Drosophila melanogaster: one gene and its partners. The protein of the gene in region 2 interacts with the protein of the main gene of each other region in a biochemical or structural test. Each region holds a gene or a part of one and is shown on either strand. Other genes may lie near its edges. The genes, in order: Spn27A, ea, gd and Spn42Dd.

Region 1 (4,610 bases), on a different chromosome or scaffold from region 2:
CTTCAATAAGGCCCAAATGCAAGCTCAATCAGCTATTTCCATGCTGCCCAACAGCGGGGGTAAGTCATTTTAGTACCTAATTTAGAAGATCTATTATATTATGATACAATCGTACAGTGGGTACTCTCCGTTAAGTTTACCCTATCATTTGTGCTTTGAAAGCAAAGTCATCACATATAACAGTTAGATTTGTAGTTTCTTGACAGCGTTATGGTCATAGTTCTAAAAGTCGGGTTAATACCCAAGGGAGGAAATTTATATTTTTACATTTGTGCTGAGTTGTTATCATTTACGGTAATATTATAGTTAATAAGCTGCCTAATGGCCTCCCCTTCTTGGTATTTCGCTTATGTGTCTGAGTCAGACGGTCAATTTTCAGGCTGATTTTTCGAAAGCAGAGCAAATATGCACTTTGATGACCACTTTCACGTATTATCTGTAAACGGGTTTTTGTTACTGCAAACATTGCACACTTTGCAATGCACTTGATCACATCTGCGATATATTTACAAGCTGTTGATTCAGATTATCACTTGAACGCCTCTACAAGGATGAGCTGGCTGGAGTTTCGAATCAGAAAGATAAATAAAACATGAGAGATAGGGCATTTAGTCGAGCTTAATATATATATATATATATGTTTTTTCTTTTAAACTAATAGACCTTGTTTACACTTTTCGTTAATACATCGTTTAGCCCTAGAAAACATTAGGACTTTTATAATGATTTCATTGATGAATAGCAATTGAATTGTATTAAGCTAACAAACTTTATCATATACTTGTTTCTAAGCTGCGCTTAAATTCCCAAGCTTAGCTGGCTTCCTTGTTTGTTCAAGAGATCACCAGAACGTGGCTAACTACGCAAACTTAAGATTTCCCAGTCGAACAACATCTCAGCCAGCCCCCTGAGTCATGGGTTCTATTTGCCGTCGACTATGTGCGCAATCGGTTACCCATCGATCTCCCCATTGGATATTGCCGATGTTACGTTCGTGGGACATTCCCAGAGTTAGCAGGTATTTGCATCTCTCACTTGATTGCTGCCTTTTGCTTTCAATTGTTCGTGGCATGCCTGGGCGAGGCATAAATATAAAAACAAACATTTAACGACAGCACCAGTGGCTTTATCAGCCAGCGGAATGTTGTGGCCTGTAGATGGGAACCGACTCGCTGGGGGAATCGTCGCCACGCACGATTACTGAAAAAGGGGTCAAGAGCACAGATTCGTTTCTCGTTTGTAGGATTCAGCAAAATGTATTAGAAAGCTTATCCACTTGCAACACTTTTCACATCATATTAAGGTTAACTGAAGCGCAGAGACTCTCATTTGTTTGTATATTTATTGCGTATTTAAAGATAAAACCGCCTGAGAGGCTTAGTTCTGGGTGGTGGGTGAGTGGACTTTGCCGGCAAACAGTATGTTACCAGTGGACTCCTCCTCGATAAAGAACACAAACGGCCGGTTTACGTTGAATTCCTCGATGGCGGTGCTGCCACCGAACTTGTTTTCGATCTCCACAACGGTGGCTGCGTAGGCCTCCGTTCCCTTCTCGTTCACATTAATGCCGGCCTTCTGCAGGATGTTAGACACCTTTACTTTGCCGGCGACATCAGCGCCGCGGGTTAATCCCGGCAGCGAGGCGCTGTCCTCAAAGATTTCGCGCACACCCAGGCTGCGCAACGTCTCCTTAAGGTTCTGCTGGTAGTCGAAATGGAACTTGGGCAGCGTCACCTTCACTTTCACCTCCTCCATGGCCCACTGAGCGCTCTTTAGCTCGTCGTTTTCCAGGTTCTTGACCAAGTCATGGATGCCATTCAGGGCGTAGGGCAGCAGGACGAACAGGGAGTTCTTGCCCTTGTAGGGCAGACGCAGAATCTGCGCCTTCAGCTTCTCCGAGGTGGTGTAGTAGAAGTAGTCGGTCTGCTCCATGAACTCCGCCCGCGACTGGTCGTCCTTGCTGCGGAAGAAGGATCCCTGGAATGTGGTGGCAAACTGCCGCCGCCACAGACCGTTGAAGTAGATCAGATTGGTCAGCAACATTACGCTGCTGCGCACGTTGTCCGGGGCTACTAGCTGCTGAAGTCTGCCCTGCGTGATGTTGGCGGCCCAGGCGTTGATGGCATCTGCCGCCGCCTCGGGATTGGTGAAGTCTAGCGCCTCCACCTCGCTGTCGTAGAAGTGTTTCAGCGTGGCCGTGAACTTCTGCTGTGTCTCGATGAAGCTGTCCGTGAAGAGCTTGGTGCGCACACTGAGCGTCTCGTGGAGCTGGTTCTCCTTCTTGAAGGAATTAAGTGTCTTGCGGTAGAACTCCCGCACATTATTTTGCGATCGAATGTCTGTTTGCGTGTTGGCCAGCTCCACTTGCGTCTGGGTTCCGGCTCCGGCCGCCTCAGCCAGCAGGGCCAGCACCAGTTTGACGGAGAACGGCGAGATGATCACATTCTTGTCGGCTGTCTCGTTCTGCAGCACCGTCTTCAGTAGATGCCATGAGAACGGATCGTGCGAGTCGCTCCGGAAGGGCACAAAGGTATCTATATCGTCGTAGATACCCGCTCCACTGGGCACGCTGGCAGCGCCACCGGGCAGCTTGTCCGTACGGGTTTCGAATACGCCCTGGGGCGTCGTGGTCGTCGGTATGGAGTTGCCGTTGCCCGTGGCTAACGCACTCAAAAACAGCGACAGCAGCATCACTGCCAAATTTCCGCCCATCTTTGTCATCTGTGCTTCCCTAAGCTTCTGCGTCTCGATCTTCCTCGGGTCTTTGCTTTCAGCCTCTTATTCGCAGCAAAACAACTGTTAAATGCGGGCTTTGGTGGGGCGAGCGGCGAGAGAGCGCCGGTGGAGCGAGCGATAACCGTTTCACGCGCCGTTCCAACTGAGAGTGACTGGTGCGCCGAGCGGGCTGGCCATTTTAAAATCGAGCTCCAGCTTCAAGCCGCTCTTGACGCCGTCCTCTGCTGCTGTGCTGCCGCGTCGACGGGGCAGCGCATGTGTGTTTTTTTTGTTGGGACTCCCAAAGCATACGTACGTCATTATCGCAAAGTGATGAGTGTGGTTAAGTGATGAGGGAAGTGAAGGGAAACGACTAGACTATACAGTGCATCAGTGCACTCAGAGAATTTCCATGCCTGTATTGACAGGATTAACCAAAAAACCTATACAAATATTTAAGGATCATTCATCATTATGAATGTTATTTTGTTATTTTGTACAAATTAGTTGCGAACAATATCCGCCTTTATTAGGCTTTCCCCACTTCAGCTATTTGTGAATTATTGCATAGTCATCAAAGAGGAAAGTTTGCAAATGTTATTATTCTTAAACTACGTCACAGTTTCTTTCACGCCCGCTGCAAATACTCAAGCCAGTTTATGAATAGCTATTAATAGAAATTTGAATTTCAAATAAGCTTAAGTTGTGTCGGGGATAGTCTGGCCACGCTGACAACTATTATAGAACTCAGTGTTGGTAAGTGTCGGCTAAACAAAACAGCTGATCTGAAATAAATTCTCATGGTGCGTTGATGTAACAGCAGCCGGCGAAAGAAACTTGTGCATTTAATGAGAAATAAATATAAATAGCCAAAGTAACCGCACGTGCCATGCAAATTCGTCGTCCGCGTGGTGTCACTGTTCCGCAATTGATGGTGGTCACGGCCATTGGGCTGCTAGGCGGTATTTACATTTGGCAACCGCTGATTTTGAAGTACAAAAACGAGAAGAAAACCGAGGCAGAAACGCCAGCAGTAACTGAAACTAGTGGAACCACAAAGTTAGCCCGCACACTAAACCCTAATCTGCTGGCTAAAGTCATATATTAATTGAATTCCGTTCTCGCCCACAGATGAGTTTCATTAACGGCTTCAAAAGATTCGCCACAACGACGGTTGGTCTGATGGCCATCGGTATTGGATCGACTGTTATATTCTACACCACCCATCGCCTTGTCATCAAACCCTATCTTCTCGAGAAACGACGCCTGGAAGCCGAGGCCAGTGCGGAGTACCTCTTCCAGCAGGAGGTTCACTCCCAGATTGGCGAGTCAAGACCCAAACGGAGCGAATATTGAGCCAAGGCTGCCAGTGCCGTCATAGACATCTTTACATACTTATAGCCTAGTGATTAGTTACCAAATTTCAACGCTGTAACATGGTGAACAATGAATGGACTTTTACTTTCTTACCTTCACTTTGGGTGGAGAGGCCCATCTTCTTGTGTTCATTTTAGAGTTAAACAGAATGGATTTTTTATGAAAGTAATATGAATTGAATAAATAATGAAAAGCACAAATGGTTTGAATAAAAGACTAGAAACATAAACAATTAAAAATCACTGTGCTCTGTTCACCGTATGCCTTTGTACAGGCTCAGGGAGCTGCACTTGTCCTTGGCCTTTTGCTCTTGCTTTCTCAATATCGCCTCGCGCTTATAGGTGGGAAAGAAGTTCCACAGCGAAAAGGTGTCGTCCAGTCCGCCGGTGGCAATTTTCGTTCCATCCGGATTCCACATCAGGAAGAGGGTGCCGCGATCCTGATGGGACATCAAGTCAACCACGCGGTTTAAGGAGGCCAAGACCAGAATTTCGCACACTGCAAGGTCCGCATCATCT
Region 2 (4,175 bases):
GAAGGTCTTTAGCACCACCTCGATGTTGGGCCGCTTTTTGACCAGCGTGTCGTCCACGAGCTCGTAGATGAAGTTCTTGGCCCTCATCCGGCGGGGTTTCTCGTTGGTTTTGTGCAGCGGCGGGTCATATTTGCGCTTCAGGACGAACGTGGTCTGGAAGCAAATTGGTGGTGAATGGGGATCGCTTCCCTAATCCAGGAGAGCACTTACCCGCACTTGCTGCTGCAGGCTGGTGGCCGATTTAAGCAAATTTAACGGCGTTACGTAGATGTTCTTCAACATTTTTACCACCAATATGTCTGCGTTGCCAGACTACTCAGCCAGTTTGCAGTGTTGCCAGATATGATTATTTAATCTGCGTGAGTTCAGCAGTAAAATTTTCAGTGACTTTGAAAACGATTATGAATTTAGTTTTTTTATTGCAACTATTTCTTTACATTTTAATAAAGCAAAATAATTTGCCCAATTTACCTTTTAATTGATTAAAAAAAATGTACCTTTGAAAGTATTATGACTGTCAATTTTAATTTAATAGTTTCATTACAAAATAAAAGATTGACTATGCCAATATTTCGGCGAACGCGCCCATCGACATGCAGTATGCGTACACGCTGTGAAGCAGTTTTTAAACGGAAACCGTTAGTCGAATTTATTTACAATATGACATTTTACAATCAGGACTCAATAGTGTTTTGTATCCAATCAACGTACTTGCCCACCAGCGTGTAAACTCCTGGCCATCCGGCCAGACCGCACGGAGTCGGTCCAAATGACACGACGCCGGCCAGGAAGTAGTAGGTGTTCACCTTGTTGGTGTCCAAGCCGATGAGCGGTCCCCCGGAGTCACCGCGACAGGAGTCGACGCCTTCCTTGCCGCCGGCACACATCTGTGTGTCCTCGAGGAGAATGTCCTGGCTGCTGTAGACGTTCTGGCACTCATCCATCCGGAATCCCTCCACGGCTGCCTTCAGCTTGAGGTTGCTGGCCGACAGCTGCTCCGTTTTGCCCCAGCCGGCCACGTCCATGGTGATGCCGTCGAAGGTGGCCGACCGCAGATTGACGTCCAGAGGCAGGCAAATGGGTCGCACAAAGTCGGTGTACTCCACCTGCTGGGCCAGACGCAGCAGGGCTATGTCGTTGACCTGGTTCTTGGAGGCCGGTATATAGTCGGGATGGGGTATAGTACGCTCCACGGGCACGTCCAGATGCGGTGGCGCGCAGTCCTTCATGCCGCGCACATCTACTTCGCAATCGGGATTAGTGTTGGTGTCCCATTCGCCCAAACGAACACCGGACAACCGCCAGTCGGTGGGCAGTGCCTTTCCGTTGACACAATGCGAGGCTGTGATCACATATCTTGTGCTGATCAAGGATCCGCCGCAATGGTGACCCTTTTTGCCCTGGCCTGCATGTAGGAATTAACCAGTGGATAAGTGCGTTCAGACTTAAGACGATGCCCCTCTACTTACTTTTGGTGTATTCAATTAGAGCCATCCAGGGGAACTCGTCGATCTTGGTCTTCATTCCGCCATAGATGCGATTGGACAGGATGTTGCCGCATTGTCCTGGCAGCGGCAGAAGGCTGTTGCTGGTTACATTGGGCTTGGGCGGTGGCGTCGTCTCCGATGAGCTCTCCCTGTAGCGGTCCGGACAGCAGATGAGCACCTTGCCGTTCGTATAGCCGCACTGGCTGCGACTCAGGTAAAGCCGGTCCGTGTCCCGGAGCGGGGTGGTGGTCAGCAGGCCGTATAGGTACTTGCAGTCCTCCAGATGGATGCACAGCGCACGCTCCCGATTCGGCGTTATGCAGCGCCCATAGTTGGGCACCTGGGCCGCCTCGTTGGGGAAGTAGAACTCTGGAAATCCAGACTTTAGGTTCAGAGAGCTTACCAATATTGTGAATACATAAATTAGGTCATTAGCTATGGAAGTACGGAAACAGGTTTCCAGCGACTTGTGAAGGCCCGCGGCAAAAAAAAACAAATACGTTAAGCTAGTCATGTCCAGCAGATGAGCATCTTGGCAGTCTTCTATTTACTTACGGCCCGCCGATGATTTCGCCAAAATGCCCAAAAAGAGGCAGATAATCGATGGCTTTAGCATTTTCGTTGCGCAATCGGACCTCGTTAGTCCTTTCTCAAGACGTCGTCAGTGGTTTGCGGATAATGTTTTGCCTAAAAACAATATTACAGACCGACCGCAGAAGCAGTTATCAAAATAAACGGCGCGATAATATGGACGATACCAGGTGCCACAGCGGAGCGGAGTGAAACGAAGAGGCCGAAGCTGAGCTTGGCGCACAACTGAATCTTCGGACGGACGCGGTTCTCGGCCTGCGAGCTTTGTCGCAAGCTTTTTGGCGAGTCTCCAAATCAGATATGAAGATAATCGTGGGAGCAGATCTTTATCTCTCTTCCAATTATTATTCTTAGTAATTGTCAGTTGGCTTATTTAACTTTGGTACTAATAGAATTTACTTTGTCACATGCTGAGTGTAAGTAAAGTACTCGGCAAATTTAAGGGAGTATCTACCATTATTTAATCCCCGCCTAAGTTCGATTGTATCACATGGTGTTTTGATAGCAAAAAGCACTATCATTAACGATAAGCTAACGGTATATTTCGTTCTACAGCAAACTGAAAGTTCTACCGACTTTAAATCGGACCTAAAGCAAAGTTTAAAGTCGCAGTTTAAATTGCAGCGGTCGCGTTGCCAAACAACACAGTATGACCGAATTCGCAATGTTGTTTGCCACTGTTTTGGCAACTCGCATATAGCGGTACGTCGCAGCTGGTGATAAGTTAAATGTTTAATTTAAAAAATGAGCGTGGATATTTAGTAAAGGTCGAATAGGCGGCAAGTTTGGAGATCGGCAGTGGTGTAAGTAGTACGTCGCTTGAGTGCCGAGTGAGTGCTGTATGTGCAGCAATAATGCGAATGCAAGTCTCATGTGTCTGGTCCGATATTTGCAGCTCATAATTTATTCAAAATGCGCTTTGTGCGGCGGGGAACTGTCCCCAAGATTGCAGCATGTTGCTGTGTGGTGGTCCTGCTGGTCACCTGGTATGTGTTGAACGTGGAGCGGGATCTGGATAAGAGCCTCAAAATGTAAGTATGTCTAGTTGTGCGTCACAGCGGCTTGGGATATTGATTGTACGATGTTTGTCCATACATATGTATATGTACATATGCGCATATTTGTGATAAAGAGTATTTATCTTTTGCAACTAATTCAATTTTGTATTTAATTAAAGCGAAATCATCGAGCGCTCCATAAGATCGGCTGTGAATCGTGGCGAGTGCCGGCATCCCCATCTGCCGCTGGACAATCCGGACATCATGAAGTTCTACAAGCCGGTTGAGCGAATAAACTGCGGCGAGGGCATGGACTGGGTCATGTGTGAGGTTGGTTGGGACTGGGCCCCTTCTACAAGAGCTGATTGCTTAACTTAAACCTCGTTTCCCCCAAAGAAATCCATTTGCTTTGTGCGACCAGAGATTGCGTCCAGCCACGAGGATGTGATCTGCTCCTACACGGACATTATTCGCAAGTCGGACTACAAGGTTCGCTTTGGGCAGTCACTGCGCATGAAGGAGCCCTATGTGCTGCAGGCCAGCGACTTTGTCAAGGTGGTCTGTCGATCCTCCAGCGGCGAGAGGTGACCATTATCTTATTTTATAGTTATGCCTATACTTTAAAGAATGATCTTCATGTACTTAGTTGGTTTGGCATGGCCCACGGAATACGGGATACGGTGCCCCGTCCACCGGCCTCCAATTTCTCCCCGAACTTGGCCGTCCTACCACCCGAGGCGGTTGCGCAGGCCCAGCAGCAGATGCAGGATGGGGCCACAGCTCCCATCTACAATGTCCTCATGTTTGGCTTCGATTCGCTGAGTCGCAATGCCTTCATTCGCAAGCTGCCCAGGACCTACGAGTATCTCACCCAACAGTTGGGCGCCACCGTTCTCAAAGGCTATAACATTGTGGGCGATGGTACGCCACAGGCGCTGGTGCCCCTACTGACGGGTTTCACGGAACTGGAGCTGCCGGAGACAAGGAAGCGGTTGTCCGGGGCAGGCAGCGTGGATTCGTATCCTATGATTTGGAAGGATTTTGCCCGCCTGGGATATATGACCTCCTTTAATGAGGATTTGCCCAATGTGGGCACTTT
Region 3 (4,769 bases), on a different chromosome or scaffold from region 2:
CCAATCGATTTGGGTTATAATTTGAGGAAAATTTTTTTTTTTTAATTTTTTTCGCATTTTGATACCTTACGAAAATGCAAAAATTGATCTTAAAATTAATTTCTTAGTATCCGCTTAAAAATGATATGGATCTTTAGCATTGGTAATTATCTGAGCGAAACTGTTTTTCTTTTAGCCATGTGATGATTTTTGGCCAAGTTATAAATTATGGCATTTTTGCCAAATGTCGTTTTTCTGACTTCCCTTAACATAATATATCGATTTTTGGCCAAAACACTTAACAAATTGTAATTATACCTGTTAAGTCCTTAGAGCCAATAATACCTGTTTGCGGTTAAGATTTAGGATTAAGAATCTGCATTTTGTTTTAGCCAACCAATGGACTTTATTTATGTTACCTAATTGGCTTATTTTATAACGGTTCGTATTAGTCAATAATACAGGTAATGTTTGCGTGTTTAATCCTAGAAGCTGCCTTAAAAGTAAGGCTATTTTGAGATGATCATCCCTTATTTTGGCACATTTTATAGGAGAAGTTACCTCTAAATGGTTTTAAATGACCAGCCTGCCTGCTGAGGGTCACTACCTGATTTTCGCGACACGAGGATTAGCGGATTGTGGTAAGGATGAGCCATCTACCTGACCATCTGGATACTAATATTAAAAAAACATATAAAGGCATGCCGCAATCGTGGATAATGTATCATAAGGCCGCGAGATCTCGTCGAGAATGCAGTTACTGTGCTACTTCGTCATCCTTTTCGTTGGAATCGCACCGTGGTCATCCTTGGCCAACGATGATGGATGCAACGAAGTGGTCTGCGGATCGGTGGTATCCAAGTGCCTCATCACCCAGAGCTGCCAGTGCAAGTTAAATGACTGCCACTGCTGCAAGGACTGTCTAAATTGCCTTGGCGAACTGTACATCGAGTGCTGTGGCTGCCTCGACATGTGTCCCAAGCACAAGGATGTCCTGCCCTCGCTGACGCCGCGCTCGGAGATTGGAGACATTGAAGGAGTGCCCGAGCTGTTCGACACCCTAACCGCCGAGGATGACGAGGGATGGTCCACCATAAGGTTCTCCATGCGAGCCGGCTTCAAGCAGCGCGTTCAGGGCGGCGCGAGTGGTGATGCCGGAAACGGAAATGGAAATGGAAATGCCGGGTCTGCAGGTGTCACCCTATGCACCGTGATCTATGTGAACTCGTGCATTCGGGCAAACAAGTGCCGGCAGCAGTGCGAGAGCATGGGAGCCAGTAGCTATCGATGGTTCCACGACGGATGCTGCGAGTGCGTCGGCGAGAATTGCCTCAATTATGGAATCAACGAGAGTCGCTGCCGCGGTTGTCCGGAGGATCAGGACCAACTGCTTACCGCCGATACCGTTCCGGCGGAGGCTGAACAGGATCTGGAGCGATTCTTTGGCAACGAGGAGATCGAGGACGAGTGGGGCTATGGCGAGGAGGATGAATTTTCCTAATAGCACAGATAATTTCAAATAAATGTGGTTCTTCAAATTGGAGCTTGGACCTCATCATAGCAAACGATCTCTTTGTAAATACCCATGTAAAATACCCATGTAAAAATAGCAAGGCATTTGCTAATTTAAGTTTTTATAAAAAAAAGACAACAATAAACTTGGAAATTATAAAAATATTCCTTTTAGTTCTAACAGTGGATCCAGTAAATGTTTCGTAGAATCCATATTTGTGGGATATAATTAATTTGTAAAGTTTTTTGAAATTTGAACTTGCACGGAATTGAGAATTTAAAGGATCAATTTCCCCTCTCTCATTTTAATTAACAGGGGTTACTTTCTTGGTCTGGCAACTCTGTTGGTGGATAAAATGCACACAGTGTTCCCGGACTGTTAAAGCTTCGATCGAAATTGCGGCATTGTTTACGTTTGTTTTGAGTGAAAAGCATTTTCATCCCGGGCATTCCCAGACACTAGCGATGAGGCTGCACCTGGCGGCGATCCTGATCCTCTGCATCGAGCACGTAACCAAGGCAGTCGCCCAGGGAATGCCGATCAGTCCGTGCCCCAAGGTGTTTCAGTACCGCTTCGACGGCAGCGAATGGTTCGGCCTGATGGCCGTGCGCAGTCCGGATGGCCACCAGCCGCTCCACATACGAGTTACGCTCTCGATGCGTGGCAAGCCCACCACGGTAAGTGGTATATTGTCATCCAGATGTTACCTAATCCCCTTAGTACACACAGAACTATCTGGGCGAAATCGAGCTACTCACACGCGGCAAGTTTACCCACAATGCACCGGTGCTGTATAAGATCCGCTTTCCCAAACATCACTTCCCGCCCAAACTGCTCCTCATGTCAGCCAACAATCATGTGATCTGCTTCGGATCCGGCGGTGCGTATCCACGGAACTTGGGTAGCAAACGATTTAATCCATGACTTGTTTGCCCGCACCACAGAGCACAGCATCTTCATGACCCAAATCCAGTTGGAGCACATTAGGAAGTTGTCCTTTATACCGGATAAGAAGAGCTCCCTGCTGCTAGATCCCGAGGAGGAGGAGGTGAGAAAAACCGACGACAAGCCGCCCAGTACGCCGCACATCCAGTTCAAGAAGTATGCATCCGGATTTTGGTCGGTTAAAACACACACACGATCGTGACATTCATTCGTTACTTAATGTCCGCTTTTGTAGAAAACCCTTTGCCCAGGCGCCCAAGGAGATTTGCGGACGCATCGACAGGGATCTGGACTTTCACTTGTCCCAAAGAACGGAATCACTTCATGTCGCAATCGGTGAACCAAAGAGCTCCGATGGCATCACATCGCCAGTTTTTGTCGATGACGATGAAGACGATGTCCTGGAGCATCAGTTTGTGGACGAATCAGAAGCAGAAGCGATAGAAAGCGATAGCGCCGATAGCCTGCCATCGATCACCAGGGGATCGTGGCCTTGGCTAGCGGCCATCTATGTGAACAACCTGACCTCCCTGGACTTTCAGTGCGGCGGTTCGCTTGTCTCGGCACGCGTTGTAATCAGCTCGGCGCACTGCTTCAAGTTGTTCAACAAGCGCTACACATCCAACGAGGTGCTCGTCTTTCTGGGCCGCCACAATCTGAAGAACTGGAACGAGGAGGGATCTCTGGCGGCCCCCGTCGATGGCATTTACATTCATCCCGACTTTAACAGTCAGCTGAGCAGCTACGATGCGGATATCGCAGTGATTATACTCAAGGACGAAGTTCGGTGGGTGCCAATATGCCTAAAGCTTACATATTCAAGATTTAGATTCATATCTAAACCGCGATGTGAAATCGAATATGAAGATCATTTATTATATTGACAGTATACCATTATTTTCAACGCAGATTTAACACCTTTATTCGACCCGCTTGCCTGTGGTCTGGTTCCAGCAAAACGGAGTACATTGTGGGCGAGCGGGGCATCGTCATCGGCTGGAGCTTTGACAGAACGAACAGGACGCGGGATCAGAAGCTGTCGTCGGAGCTACCGGGCAAGAAGTCCACCGATGCCAGTGCACCCAAGGTAGTAAAGGCTCCCATTGTCGGCAATGCCGAATGCTTTCGAGCCAATGCCCACTTTCGCAGCCTATCCTCAAACCGAACGTTTTGCGCCGGCATCCAGGCGGAGGAACGAGATACGCATCAGAGCGGGGCGAGCATTTACACCGGTATATCGGGGGCCGGACTTTTCATCCGCCGGAACAATCGCTGGATGCTGCGTGGCACAGTATCAGCGGCCCTGCCCGCCGTAGAGACACCGGATGCGGAATCTAGCCATAAGCTTTGCTGTAAGAATCAGTACATTATATATGCCGACGTGGCCAAGTTTCTGGACTGGATCACGGCCTTTGTAATTTGAATCACATCCGAAATGTGTATGGGAACGCATTTCTAAGTGAGCGCTGTGATAATAGCCCCTTGGGCATGGCGATGGGCAAAAGTTACTCGGAGTAATTAGCGGTTATCGGTTTTTTCTTTTTTTTTTTTTGCTAGTTTCATTACGAAAACTTCTGATTATGGCATTTCAGTTTTATTTTTATCTAAGACAGTAGGGCAATTCAAATAATAAATTATGGCACGGGAAAGCCAAAAAGGAATTTTCCCATAGAATCGCTGCGCTTTTAGATCTCCACCATAATATTAACATTAAAAATCTCGAAATTTGCAATGTTTAAATTCCTCTGACCACATATAGAAAACGTGTATGTTGAAAGAATCACAGGTATGTTTGATATCGAAATTAATTGTAATACAGTAACGTTTACCATGCCTTTGTTATCAGTGTGTTGTTGGCGCTCGTGAACAAAGGAAGCTGCTAATATGCCGGAGTGGGCGGCCTGGCCCGTCTGAGCGGCGTTCACCCATGGACACCTGGACACCCTAATTACCAGCGGCAGACACTGTACTGCGCAAATGCTGACTACTATCAAGCACGTCATCGCACGTCATCAGCCGCAATCGTCGTCATCGCCATCTGGGCCGTTATCTATCTTGCTGGGTTGTTGGGGCATCGACAGCAGTCGTAGCCATCGACTATCAGTTCCGTCCGGACCGTGGCAGCTGGTGCATCACACCTGGGGCTCTGGGCCCGTCGTCTACGGACATTCGCAATCGTTGAAGATCCCCAAACAAGTGCAACGCATTGTATTGTGAACGTGCCCGATAGTTGGTAGTGAATATATTACAGAAATGGCAATATTTGGAGTACATTTCGCGTATTGCAAAGTTCGATTCATCGATTCCCAGAATGCTGGGCGGAGTGGGAGCT
Region 4 (4,110 bases), on a different chromosome or scaffold from region 2:
ATTTTATCTTTGAATTACTATCGCGTCGTTTGCTATAAGGCAATTTGTTATGACGAAAGCAAGTTCTAGTTGACTTCACTTTACTTTCTACATCGGTTCTATTAAAAATATAATAGGGAATTATTATTATTATTTTAAAATAAATAGTAGCACCTAGTAGCAGTTGTAAGCTAATACGTCATTCTGGGATTTCGGATTTATTTTTAATTAGCATAGGCAATTTTGAAAATGTTTTATTTTATTAAAGATTGAATCCGAATTCGAAATTGTTCTGGATTGATCAAGTTGGCGCTTAACAGCTGGCGATAATGCCAAATGAGATAATGAGATTTGGCCCGAAAATGTCTTATTTTTGTATACTTATGTTACATTTAAGTATTTAAAAATATAAATTAAAACATATATTTTTTTGCCCAGATCGAGATGAGCGAACCCCAAGAAGGCAGAAATCAGTTTGCGCGAAATCTGATAGATGTCATTACCAAAGATGCCCTGCAACAGAGCAAAGACCCCCACATAAATACGGTTTTCTCTCCAGCATCCGTCCAAAGTGCATTGACCTTGGCATTTATGGGGGCTTCCGGATCTACAGCAGAGGAGCTAAGGAATGGGCTTCAGCTAGGACCAGGAGATCGCCATCACATAGCCCTAAACTTCGGAGAGTTCTGGCGCACGAGCTGTAACTACGGCGACAGGGGACCCGTGTTGAAGTCCGTGAACCGATTGTACGTCAACGATTCCTTGGAACTGCTTACCGAGTTCAACGAGATCGCCGTGGACTTCTTCCAGTCGAAGGCCGAGGCGACGAGGTTCGCCGATTCGGAGGGAGCTACGCAGCTGATCAACGACTGGGTGGAACAGGAGACGGAGCATAAGATCACCAACCTGCTTCAATCGGATGCCGTGAACAACGAAACGAGCGCCCTGCTCATCAATGTCTTGTACTTTAAGGGAAAGTGGCAGAAACCATTTATGCCAGAGACCACATCGATTGACCATTTCCACGTGGACCGGGACACTCACGTGCAGGTGAATATGATGTACCAAGAGGACAAGTTCCGGTTCGCAGAACTGCCACAGCTGAAGGCTCGAGCTGTGCAACTGCCCTATGATTACTCAAACATTCACATGCTAATTCTGCTGCCCAACGAAGTAAACGGTCTGCAGGAGTTAGAGCAGCAACTCAACACCGTGGATCTAGCCGATATTGACGCAGCGCTGACCTTGCAGGATGTCGAGATCTTTCTGCCCAGGATGTGCATAGAGTACGACGTGGACCTCAAGCAGGTACTTAATCAGGTAAGATACATTTAACCGATAATAGTGGCTTTGTTTTAATAACAATGTAATATCTGATATTTATTCTCAGCTGGGTATTACGGAAGTCTTCAGCGATAAGGCCAAGCTAGACGGGCTCTTTACCTCGCAAAGTGGCCAAAAAATCTCGGCAGCAAGGCACCGCGGCTACATCGACGTAAATGAGGCAGGATCGGAGGCAGCAGCAGTCAGTTGTAAGTGAAATCAGCTGCTTGCAACTCAAACTTGCTCGTACTAATCTCAACTCTGATTCCCACACTCAGTCATGAAGATAGTACCCATGATGCTCAACATGAACAAGAAGCTCTTCAAGGCGGATCACCCGTTCGTCTTTTACATACGAAACCCGCAGGCCGTCTTCTTCGCCGGCCGATTCTCGAACCCCAAGTCTGGATCTGGATCAGGAGAGGAGGGCTTGTCACGGGAAGGTTTCGATGCCAACATGTACAATGTCTAAGAACAGCAGTGAGACCGAATAGAACTCAGCTATGAAATCCCACTAGACGTCATTGGATTTCAATCCGAGAGAGCTGTGTGCGCAGTTCTCAGTAACGTAATGAAGTATCGCCAGTAGGTACATATATGTCCAGTGCATATATGAGCTCGTCTTGGCACTCGGCGCTCAGTTTACAGAGATACTTATCTCGGGGAAGAGTTCGTTGTAGACGGTCAAATGTATTACTTGTGTAAGTGGCGATCGCTTATAGCCAGTGAATTAAAATACAAAGCAATAAATTACCTATAATAACTTATGATTTAAATTAAATTCATAGAAAATAATAAAACAATATGGTGAAGACGTTTGCTATGGCATTAACTTTTAACTTACAAAGACTATCCGCTTTCGTTGAATTCGATTTGCTTTAGTCTGTAAAAGTAAAAAATATCAAGTTTAATATGCATGAACAGAATTTCCGAACGCTGAAAACGAATTGATAATTAACATCCCCAAACTAGGCATTTTCCTGTGGGTCACTTCAGTGGCATGTCAGACCTCCAAAGAGATCTACCAACTACTTTCCAAGAGCCATACAAACCAGAACCTCGTCGTCTCGCCCGTCTCCATAGAGACCATCCTTAGCATGGTCTTCATGGGCGCAGAAGGCTCGACGGCCAAGGAGCTGCAGAGCGCCTTAGGTTTACCATCGGAGGACAAAGAGGCGGTGGCAGCCAGGTACGGTGCTCTCCTCAACGATCTTCAGGGACAGGAGGAGGGACCCATACTAAAGCTCGCGAATCGCATCTACGTCAACGACCAGTACAGCCTGAATCAGAACTACAACCTCGCTGTGAGGGAACCCTTCAAGTCCGAGGCGGAGTCCATTAGTCTGACCAATGGCCCTGTGGCGGCCGAGAGAATCAACCAGTGGGTGCTGGATCAGACCAGTGGTAAAATCAAGGGCATGATCGATCCCGGCAGCATGACGTCCGACGTGAAGGCCTTGCTGGTGAACGCCATCTACTTTAAGGGCCAGTGGGAGTCGAAGTTTGACCCAGCTAAGACCAGAGCCTCCACCTTCCAAGTAACTGCGAACAAGAGTGTGCCCGTCCAGATGATGGCGCAAATGGGAACATTCAGGGCTAACTACTTCCGCGATCTAGATGCCCAAGTCATCGAGCTGCCGTACCTTAACTCCAACCTGTCCATGACTATCTTTCTGCCCCGAGAAGTGGAGGGCTTGAGCGCCCTGGAAGAGAAGATCGTTGGCTTCGCCAGGCCGCTGGTTGCCAAGGAGGTCTATCTTAAGCTGCCCAAGTTTAAAATCGAATTTCGTGATGAACTCAAAGAGACCTTAGAGAAGGTAAGACTCCGTCAAGAAAAACACGGTTGTGCCACTTTGACGCTCGATTCTATTTAAGCTGGGCATCCGAGAGCTATTCACCGACAAGTCAGACTTAAGCGGCTTGTTCGCCGATAAGTCAGGCGGCAAAGTCAGTCAGGTCTCGCACAAGGCGTTTCTGGAGGTGAACGAGGAGGGAGCGGAGGCCGCAGGTGCCACATGTAAGTACCGATTTGGTTATCAGCGTCGAATGTTGACTCCTATATACTCACTGTTCCCAATGATTCCCAGCTGTGGCCGTCACAAATCGAGCGGGATTTTCTACGTTCCTCATGGCCGATCATCCCTTTGCCTTCGTCATTCGCGATGCGAACACCATATATTTCCAGGGGCGTGTTGTAAGCCCTTGAATAAATAAAAACAATATTTAAATTTTAAATTAAAATTCCAAGCGGAGTGATTACATTTTAAGTTAAGGATCAATGTGGACAGCAGTCCACGTTGTGACGGAAGGGTAACGCAGCGAAGGTAGGTTGTCCAGTAGGTTGGTAATAGGGAGTAGAAGTGGTATTTTGCCAAAAATAAAAAGTGTAATGATTTCTGATTCTTCGTTCGGAAAAGTTTCAAATATGTTAATTTTAACTCATTTAAATACGCCATGTATTTTAAGTGTCCTGGTGAACCGAGCGATTTTATTATTATTATATATTAAAAAAAAACGACTAGTTTAGCGGAGAAAAAACACTAAAAAGTTAAACATCCACCACCAATGAACCTAGAAGCATTCGATAAAAGTCGTTAAAAAGGCAATTTAAAACACTATTCTCGGTTCCTAAACGTATTATGTCTAAATACCACAGATAAAAAACAAGTGAAAAGCCTTTCTCGAGTCCCTCGCGTACCTGCAAATTGGAAGTGGTATGTATGTGATATTCGAGCTACTCGACTACGGCGGTCTCTCCAGTTTTTAATAAACAAAATTGATATTTTTAAGCCGATACTAACGTAAAAA

The links.
Region 1: of the proteins of ea (region 2) and Spn27A, one has a biochemical effect on the other in vitro, tested with the Drosophila melanogaster proteins (one study listed by BioGRID).
Region 3: of the proteins of ea (region 2) and gd, one has a biochemical effect on the other in vitro, tested with the Drosophila melanogaster proteins (one study listed by BioGRID).
Region 4: of the proteins of ea (region 2) and Spn42Dd, one has a biochemical effect on the other in vitro, tested with the Drosophila melanogaster proteins (one study listed by BioGRID).

The regions. Positions count from the first base shown.
Region 1 is NT_033779.5:6,670,455-6,675,064, forward strand, and holds Spn27A (serpin 27A), read right to left. Parts: upstream 2,894-4,610; 5' UTR 2,722-2,893; coding exon 1,378-2,721; 3' UTR 611-1,377; downstream 1-610. Other genes in the region: cup, read left to right, coding at 1-59, 3,847-3,860; CG34310 (uncharacterized protein), read left to right, coding at 3,605-3,774, 3,852-4,071; cort (cortex), read right to left, coding at 4,346-4,608.
Region 2 is NT_033777.3:15,326,861-15,331,035, reverse strand, and holds ea (easter), read right to left. Parts: upstream 2,308-4,175; 5' UTR 2,104-2,307; coding exon 2,043-2,103; intron 1,954-2,042; exon of another isoform or gene 1,857-1,953; coding exon 1,470-1,856; intron 1,406-1,469; coding exon 675-1,405; 3' UTR 628-674; downstream 1-627. Other genes in the region: mRpL9 (mitochondrial ribosomal protein L9), read right to left, coding at 1-153, 211-282; CG6236 (uncharacterized protein), read left to right, coding at 2,991-3,109, 3,256-3,406, 3,473-3,660, 3,723-4,175. UniProt on the Drosophila melanogaster protein: Component of the extracellular signaling pathway that establishes the dorsal-ventral pathway of the embryo.
Region 3 is NC_004354.4:11,984,874-11,989,642, reverse strand, and holds gd (gastrulation-defective), read left to right. Parts: upstream 1-1,878; 5' UTR 1,879-1,956; coding exon 1,957-2,169; intron 2,170-2,212; coding exon 2,213-2,372; intron 2,373-2,436; coding exon 2,437-2,593; coding exon of another isoform or gene 2,594-2,611; intron 2,612-2,672; coding exon 2,673-3,224; intron 3,225-3,346; coding exon 3,347-3,860; 3' UTR 3,861-4,109; downstream 4,110-4,769. Other genes in the region: tsg (twisted gastrulation), read left to right, coding at 731-1,480; cac (cacophony), read left to right, coding at 4,749-4,769. UniProt on the Drosophila melanogaster protein: Component of the extracellular signaling pathway that establishes the dorsal-ventral pathway of the embryo.
Region 4 is NT_033778.4:6,881,340-6,885,449, forward strand, and holds Spn42Dd (serpin 42Dd), read left to right. Parts: upstream 1-1,940; 5' UTR 1,941-1,990; coding exon 1,991-2,003; exon of another isoform or gene 2,004-2,068; intron 2,069-2,274; coding exon 2,275-3,119; intron 3,120-3,177; coding exon 3,178-3,319; intron 3,320-3,389; coding exon 3,390-3,508; 3' UTR 3,509-3,534; downstream 3,535-4,110. Other genes in the region: Spn42Dc (serpin 42Dc), read left to right, coding at 424-1,299, 1,370-1,511, 1,581-1,774.